2 linked regions of the Oryctolagus cuniculus genome follow. The protein of the gene in region 1 interacts with the protein of each later gene in a biochemical or structural test. Links are inferred from orthologs where the notes say so. Each region holds a gene or a part of one and is shown on either strand. Other genes may lie near its edges. The genes, in order: RIGI and RNF125.

The links.
Region 2: of the proteins of RIGI (region 1) and RNF125, one has a biochemical effect on the other in vitro, tested with the Homo sapiens proteins (3 studies listed by BioGRID and IntAct, with this or other methods). The link is inferred for Oryctolagus cuniculus from reciprocal best matches to the Homo sapiens genes RIGI and RNF125.

The regions. Positions count from the first base shown.
Region 1 is NC_091432.1:195,900,931-195,905,429, forward strand, and holds the start of RIGI (antiviral innate immune response receptor RIG-I), read right to left. Parts: upstream 2,850-4,499; 5' UTR 2,613-2,849; coding exon 2,507-2,612; intron 1-2,506.
Region 2 is NC_091441.1:45,620,415-45,624,920, reverse strand, and holds the start of RNF125 (E3 ubiquitin-protein ligase RNF125), read left to right. Parts: upstream 1-1,512; 5' UTR 1,513-1,981; coding exon 1,982-2,145; intron 2,146-4,506. UniProt on the Homo sapiens protein: E3 ubiquitin-protein ligase that mediates ubiquitination and subsequent proteasomal degradation of target proteins, such as RIGI, MAVS/IPS1, IFIH1/MDA5, JAK1 and p53/TP53.

The sequences.
Region 1 (4,499 bases):
CTGGCAACAACATTAGAGACTGGGACAGAGTTTTGGGCTCCTGGCTTCAACTGGGTCAGCCCCAGTAGAGGCAGCCATTTGGGGATTCAACCAGCAGATGGAAGATCTAGGATATGCTACTTGCTCTCTGTCACTTTGCCTTTCACATAAATAATTTTTTTTTTTTTTAAAGGTTTCTGGGGCCAGCACTGTGGCACAGCAGGCTAAAGCCCTGGCCTGAAGCACCAGCATCCCATACGGCACTGGTTCTAGTCCACCTACTCCTCTTTGATCCAGCTCTCTGCTATGGCCTGGGATAGCAGTAGACGGCCCAAGTCCTTGGGCCCCTGCACTCGCATGGGAGGCCCAGAGGAAGCTCCTGGCTTTGGATTGGCGCAGCTCTGGTCATTGCTGCCATCTGGGGAGTGAATCAGTAGATGGAAGGCCTCTCTGTCTCTACCTCTCTCTGTAACTGTCTTTCAAATAAATAGAATAAATCTTTAAAAAAATAAAAATAAAAAAGGTTTCTTTACTTCTAATAGTGTTTGTGGTATTTAAGATTTATTTGAGGAGTCGGCACGGTGGCACACTAGGTTAATCCTCCGCCTGTGGCGCAGGCATCCCATATGGGTGCTGAGTTCTAGTCCCGGTTGCTCATCTTCCAGTCCAGCTCTCTGCTGTGGCCCAGGAAGGCAGTGGAGGATGGCCCAAGTGCTTGGGCCCCTGCACCCACATGGGAGACCAGGAGGAAGCACCTGGCTCCTGGCTTCAGGTCGACGTAGCTCTGGCCATGGCAGCCATTTGGGGAATGAACCAACAGAAGGAAGACCTTTCTCTCTGTCTCTCTCTCTCACTGTAACTCTGTCAAATAAATAAAAATCTTTTACAAAAAAAAAAAAAAAAATTGAAAGTCAGTTACTTAGAAAAGGAGAGGCAGAGAGTCAGTCTGTCTTCCATCCGCTGGTTCACTCCCCACTTGACCACAATGGCCAGAGCTGTGCCAATCCAAAGCCAGGAGCTTCTTCCAGGTCTCCCACACTCGTGCAGGGACTTAAGTACTTGGGCCATCTTCTGCTGCTTTCCCAGGCCATAGCAAAGAGCTAGATTGGAAGTGCAGCAGCCAGGACACGAACCGGTGCTCATATGGGATGTCGGCACTGCAGGTGGCAGCTTTACCTGATCCACCACAGCACCAGCCCCAGAGCTTTTGTTCTCATAGTTACCAACCATTATCTGCCATTATGATTCTGCCTTGGTTTTTCCTGATGCCTTTTTGTCCACGTATCTGGCTGCTCTTTTCCAGTTTCTTTTCTAGCTCTTTCTCCCTCTGTTCATCTCGTAAATGACAGGCTCTCAACAACCCGTCCCAGGGTCTTTCTACTAAACTTCCAATGTGCCATCTTGCCTCTCTCACTGTTCCAGCAAGGATCTATGAAGGACTCCCCAGATTTGGACTTCTGATTCTGTGTGCCTTAGATACATCCAGGAAGCCATGTTCAGCAGATCACTGAATGGGGAGGTCTGGAACTCAGGACAAAGATCCAGGCTTGGGGGGCCCTGCAGGTAGAGATTGTGCTGCAACAGGGGAGAGTGGGTGAGACTGCACACTAGAAGGGTTTCATCCAGGGATTTCTAAAGAGGCGTGGCCTCACATTGTGTAGGAGCCCACACCTCTCTCAGGGCAGAACCAGAAAGTGAAAGTGCACTTTCCTTAGTGGCATTCTTTTGCTGCTCACTCCACAAGGTGAGTTTGGTTTAACAGAGCAATAAACACCCAAGGTACCTGCCTGGGAGTTTCACTGCAGTTACCAAAAGCTGATTAGCATTTCAGGAGTGGCATTAAGGCACCTGGAATTGCTAGGTCCTGTCTTCCACCTGGAGTCCTTGCAAACACCACCTACCTCTGTCTCCCCAAGTGTGAATACCTCTGCCAATGTCCAGCACAAAGCAATTCGCTACTCACTACCCGAAACACCTGTCCTAAAGCCTGAACATAAAGCCTGAACATTCAGTCTGGGGAAAGTCAAGCTCCTCTCAACCTTTCCATCGTTTGCAAGCACAAATGAGACCTCGCAGAGGAGGCACCACCTTGCCTGGATTTTGGACAGCGTTGTGTACCACAGTATTGTATCCTCACCCTTCACTCCCCACCTGGCAAACCCCTGGACTGGAGAGCATACTAAGGAAGGGGCTGTATCTTATTTCTCAATCTCCAATTCCAGGACAAAGGCAGGCACCTAGCCAACTCAAAGGTTAGAGGAAATAAATGAAAAGGACAGTTTCTTTCCCCAGCTTTGAACCTTAAAAAAAAAAAAAAAAAAAGTGCACCCTAAGCGAGTCACTTCACCACGCTGGTTCTCAATGTCCCTACCTGGGTTTCCTAGTGCACCTCAAACCCTGAACCAATAGTGTTTCTGAAGGTTGGTTACCTCCACCGATTTAAAAAGGAAAACAGCAAGGGGAAAACAAGTCCTCAGTTTTTCCTTGCCCCCAAGGGGCGGGCAGGCGCCGCTGGGCATCCACTCACCCTCCCCAAGCCAGGAGTTCATGTAGCTCAGGATGTGGGTAGGGTCCAGAATCCTCTTGACATAGTCGCTGAAGGCTTGCAGGTTCCTCCGCTCCTCGGCGGTCATGCTGGCCTCGTTGCCCGGTGAGATCCACCCCACCCGGCTGCTGCCCGACTCCCTTTAAAGCTGGGCTGGAGGAGGCGGGCACGCCAAGCGGGGAGGGGAGGGATTTTCCAAGAAATCAACCGCGGCTGAGAGGCGGAGCTGCCTGGGAACTTACAACTGGAGGAAAAATCGAAACTGCAACTCGCTGCAGCCGCAGGAGGGCGGGGCCGGCCCTGGCCGAGCGCTTCCCCCAGTTCTGCAAGTTTCTCTTTCCTGTTCACCCGAGGTGGGGGGTGGGGAACCGAGGAGGACAACCCTCCCCCACCTCCAAGCCCCGGGAAGCTTTTACAGCGGTAAAGTATAAAGAGAGCAAAATGCGCACAATTGAAGGGTGCGATTCGCTAAGTTCTGAAAAATGCATACAGGTTTAACCACCTTCCCCAGATCAGTTGGGCCCCACGGTGAGGGTATCATTCACCTTTTTGGAAGCTGTCACCTGTTGTCCAAAATGGCCACGCCAGTTTCCATTCGCACCCTTAGCAGATGCGGGCTCCAGTGCATGGATAGCCAGCAGATGCACACATAGGTCAGTCTTTTTTTTTTTTTCTTTTTAATTTATTCATTTGGCTTCCATCTTGGTCTGTATGAAATGATACATTATTGTGGCCTTAATTTTGATTTCTCATATAATTAATGATGTTGGACACATCTGTATGTGCTTTCTGACCTTTCATATAACCCTGCATTTGAAACTTCTGCCTAATTTTGGAATGTTTTAAAATAGACTTACACAGCGCCCTGCATTGTGACATAGGAGGGTAAGAGCCCCTGCCTGTGACCCTGGCGTCCCAGACACCCATTCCAGTCCTGGCTGCTCCACTTCGGACCCAGCTCTCCGCTAATGTGCTAGAAAGCAGTGAAGGATGGCCCAAGTGCTTGGGCCCCTGCACCTACGTGGGAGACCAGGAGGAAGCTTCTGGCTCCTGGCTTTGGTCTAACCCTGCCCTGATGGTTGCAGCAATTTGGGGAGTGAACCAATGGGTAGAAGATACCCCCCCTCAGTAACGCTGACTTTCAAATAAATAAATATTTAAGATACATAGCCTTACAAGAGTGATTATTCTATATACAAAATTGTCAAATATAGGTATTCAAAATATTTTCCCAGTCTGTCATCTAGCCTTTTGTTTACACACACACACACACACACACACACACAATTTTATTTGAGAGGCAGAGAGATAAAGAAAACTTCTATCCCCTGGTCCATTCCCCAAATGCCTGAGCGCTGATTCCAGCTCTCCTATGTGGGTAGTAGGGACCTAACTACTTGAGCCTACTTCCAGGGTTCATTTTAGCCAGGGCTCTAACTCAGGCCCTCGGATATGGGATAGAGGCATCCAAAGCAGCATCTTAATCATCACCCCAAACACACCTACCCCTTTCCACTTTATTTATGGTGTCTTTTGATGAGTGCTTTTTACCAGTTTTCTCCTCTATTCATTTCTTTTTGTGTTCCCTTTAATAAATCTATGCCCACCCCAAGGTCATTAACATACTGTTTTCTTTTACTTTTTCTCTTTTACTTTTAAGTCTGTGATATCTCAATTAATCTTGTTGTGATGTGTCATAAGGGACCAGGTTCATTTTTTTCCATACTTCTCGTTTTAGCAACATCATTTGTTCAAAATGTTTCCTTCTTCCACTAAATAGCCTTGGGACCTCTATAAAAAAAACTTAATTGACTCTATGTGTGTAAGTCTATTTCTGACTATATTCTATTCCATTCTATTTCCTGACTCTTGTAGCACTACCACTTTCTCTCTCTCGTTTGCTGTAAATTTCAAGTAAGTCTTCAAATCAGGTACCACTGAGCCCCTCAAATAGGTTCTTCATTGTGAAGATTAT
Region 2 (4,506 bases), on another chromosome or scaffold:
GAAGAGAGAGTTGGCCAGCACCGTGGCTCACTAGGCTAATCCTCTGCCTTCCGGCGCCAGCACACTGGGTTCTAATCCCGGTTGGGGCACCGGATTCTGTCCCGGTTGCCCCTCTTCCAGGCCAGCTCTCTGCTGTGGCCCGGGAAGGCAGTGGAGGATGGCCCAAGTGCTTGGGCCCTGCACCCCATGGGAGACCAGGAGAAGCACCTGGCTCCTGCCTTCGGATCAGCGCGGTGCGCCGGCCGCAGTGCGCCAGCCGCGGCAGCCATTGGAGGGTGAACCAACGGCAAAGGAAGACCTTTCTCTCTGTCTCTCTCTCTCACTGTCCACTCTGCCTGTCAAAAAAAAAAAAAAAAAATAGCTACAAGAAAGATATCTGATCCTTTGCATTCTGTTAATGGAAGTGGTGTGCTGTGTAAAGAGATGTGAGAAGAAAATCTCCTAAGACAGAATCTCACGACATAGCCAGGGAGAGGAGGCTAAGAATGAACCACGAGAAAGAGAGATGGCAAGCCAGAGCGTGTCCAGGAGGAGAGAGTGGCGAAGGCTGACAGAGTTGAAAGGACAGTAAGAAAAGGACTGAAAAGAATGTGTTGGAATTAGCCACATGGAAGTCACCAGCGACAATGATGATGGCATCCTTTGAGGAAAGATGGAGGTGGAGTGGTCGGTTCAGAACCCAGAATGAACTGGATAAGGCATGAATAATTTTTGAATGGAGCCAGCCATAAGGGAGAATCTGATGGAGAGATTTGACTTTGAGGAGGATGTAGGGCAGGAGCTGAAGAACAAGAAGGATGGATGGAGAGGTTTTTCTCTCTGTTTTAAAGAGAGGAATGGTTGCCTCTCTGTTTCTCCTGCGGGCGAGCTCCAGCTCCACACCTCTTTGTGTTCTCAGTTCCTGCTTCACTTGTTGCTCTTACTGCTCACCAAACTTCTTCCTAAATTGTTGAAGGGCGACTGCTTTTCATGATTCACTACTCTGCTCAAATATCGCTTCCGCCAAAAAGTCTTCTCAGGCCTTTTTGCCTTTCCTAGTCCTCCCTGTTTTATCTTCAGGGCTCTTACCACCTGAAGTGATCTTGTTCATTTATTTATTTGTTGATTACCCATATTGTCTCATTTAAAGTAGTCTGGGGGAACGTGCATGAAGCTTATGGCATTACCATGTGTTACACATATTATTTTGCATTTTAAGCATATACACCACGTGTGTTTATTATATATCATTATGCATTATTCCTTGCAACTGCATTCGAACTTGTAATTATCTCAAAAGATTTTTTTGGTACTAAATTCTGTGGAACTGGGATTTTGTGGGTTTATGGAAAACCATGCCCTCATCACCAGATTCTGGCATGCAGGGAGCACTCAACAGGGTCAAGATTTAAATCCGGGCCTGCAGAACCCTTTCCACTGCTTCTGCATTAATGGAAGATACACTGATTAGACGACCTAAGCAGCAATTAGCAGTGTCTCAGGAGACTCTCAGCTGGACACAGGTCATTTTTATAGCTTACTACAGTTACAACGCGGAGGACTGACATGACTGGCAACCAGGCGGAGCAAGACCAGGCCAGTACTTCCCTGAACTAGGCGTAGTGCAGAAGGAGGCTGTGTGTGATCGCCTGGAAGGTTCACTGCCTGCCCAGGTCCTCTGTTCTGCAGTTGAGGTTTCAGGTTTCAATTCTCTCAGGCCCGCGAGACCTTGCAGCGTGTACCGCGCCGCTGCTGCCTCCGCCTCCGCGCGCCAACCCAGGCAACTCCCGAGCGAGCATTGCAGAACGGCGGCCGCGCACTCAGCCTGCCCCAGACCGAGGTTAGGCGAAGCAGCGAAGGCTGTTGCTGGGCTGCGCTAGCTGAGCGCGCTGGGAGGCGGCGATCACAGCTGGGCTGGGACTTCCTTCCTCCACCGCAGGACAACAAACAACCGCCTGCAGGCACTGAGCTCTCGGCGGCTGCCTGGGCGAGAGGCGCAGCGATGGGCTCCGTGCTGAGCAGTGACAGCGGCAAGTCTGCGCCCTCCTCTGCCACCCCTCGGGCCTTGGAACGCAAGGGGGACCCGGAGTTGCCCGTCACGTCCTTCGACTGCTCGGTGTGCCTTGAGGTGTTGCACCAGCCTGTCCGGACTCGCTGTGGCCACGTGTGAGTGCCAGGGAAGCTGGGTGTGCGCGCCCAGTACTTGGGGAGGGAGCTGTTGGGGAGCCGAGGGCTTGGGGGTGGGGGGCTTGTAAAAGAAACCAGCGCTTTAGGAAACTGCTTCATGGAGAAACCTGGACCCATCCGTTGCGGGTCTCGGGGAACACGCCCAGTAGGAACCCTGCAGCCTGCTAGAGCTGCCTCGCTCCCGAAGCACAGGTGCGGAACTCCAAGGATGGGCATCCAGGCGTGGGACTCGCCGACAGTCAGGGCCTTGGTTGGAGAAACGGCACCCGCTCGGGCACCGAAAGGAGGCGAGAGCCGGGCGACGAGAAGGTGGGCTCGGGCCAAGCACACGCATCCTGCTGAACTCGGTCAGGCGGGGCTGTGCTGCCGTCTCCCCCAGAACCCCGGGCCGGTTTTGTTTTGCTGGAGCTGCGCACGTGCTCTAGACGCCTGCAGGGGCTCCTTTCTGGAGCAAACAAGGATCTGTGCAAACTGTGCTTCCACCCCCACCCCCGCATCCTTTTCCCAGCACAGACACCCGGGCCTCACAAAGGTCCTCACGTGCAACTGGAGCGTCCCAGGGACTTTCTGTGGTCATTAGCGTTTAACAACCTGCTGGGGTGGGCCTCGGGGCTTGAACGTTACAGTCGCAAGCCCGTGAATGAAGCAGTTTAAGGCACAACAGCGACAGGAGGTCTCTGACTACCTAAAGCGATAGAAAATGTTGGTTAAGGGTTGCTTAAAAATCAGGCGCTATTTAAAACTCACTGGCAGTGCAAAGCCATGGTGGTTTCTAGGAAAGCTTTAAAAGTCTATAAAATGGGCACCTCCTTAATGTGAGCTGGAGTAACTGGAGGCGAGAACTGGCAACATGAGTTTGTGTTCTCTGTTAACTTTATTTTTGTGGCTACGTCGACGCAGTGTGTGGCTGGACATGTGTGTGTGCGTGAATCAGGAGCAGGATGCACGTTTAATGCCTTCTCTGGACGGTGGACCAACTGTACTATGGTGGAGCCCCAGGGCGATGCCACAGTGGCGTCTGTAGGCTTTTGGCTTAGCAGGATAAAAGAAGTACCATATTATAAACGAAAGTGCACAAAACGTTTCTAAGCCGGCCTACAGGGGCCTTGACACCCTCAGCTTAGTACTGGTGAGGCGCAGTTTTCTCCAATGCCCATCAGTGAGCAAGGGAGAAAAATGCGCAGCCCACACATGTTTAAGTGAAGAGTGCTCTGGACACTATTCTGTGGCTGTATTTACAGGGCCTGCTGTTTCAAATTTGCCCTTACACGCAAGGCTTAAATTTGCCTCCATTCTAATGACTGATGTTTCCTAGCTTGTCAGATGTCACTCAATGACCCAAAGTCAAGATGGAAGCCAAAATGCTGTTGTGTAATGGGATAAAATACATTGATTAGTTCAGGGCAGTAATAACCTCAGGATGGGTACACTTAAATTTGATCTTTATTAGCCTGAAAACTTTAAAGTTTTGCCAAAGTTGAATAGTGGGCATTGAGTCTTGAAGAGTCCTGTTGTAGAATTGGAATGGGCAGCTTTGGTGCTGTAATGAACAGATTGAAAATTGTTTTTCGGGGCTTGCATTTGAATACTTAACTTTCGGTTTAGAATGTTTTTGCTTCTACTAAAGGATAATATGCCTTTGCAAAATGTTAACTTTTCGGTTTAATCTTTTTCTTTGTTACAATGAATAGGAAACAAGCAACTGGAAAATAGTTGTAAAATAGCCTAACAAGGGCTGGACAAACTGCCTTCCCTCACTTTACTGTTCTTTGTTTTGACAAATCTATGTCCATTGTTCTGCTGTGGGCAGAATTTCCATATGCCTCCTTTTGGCAACGTACTTGGGCCCCTTCCACTTTATAAATGTTAACCAGAGTCCATTTTGCACTGGGGGTTGGGAGTGTTGACACCATTTGTATATTCTAAATGAATTACTCCTTTCCATTGAACTGAAGCTGGAAAATGAAGAAATGCAACTGAAACCCTTCTATTTTATTACTCCATAATGAAACTAGATTTCTAAACTTGTTGAACTAGTTGTTTATGCTGATTTCTGTTTATACACCTATTTCAAGTGAAACACAATAATAAGAACAATACCTTGAATTAATACACCTATAGCACTTTGTAAATCATCTTGTGATGCAACAAAAACTGAGTATTACAGAGGGCTGGATTTGATATTTAACTCTGCCACTAGCCAGCTGTGTGGCCACCAAGTTGCTAAATCTTTTTGAATCTCAGTTCTTCATTTGTAAAATGGGGTGAATAATGCAATTTTTATGAGCATTTAAAATGTACAAACAGGCCATAATAAAGGCTCAAAACATGGTTTCCATT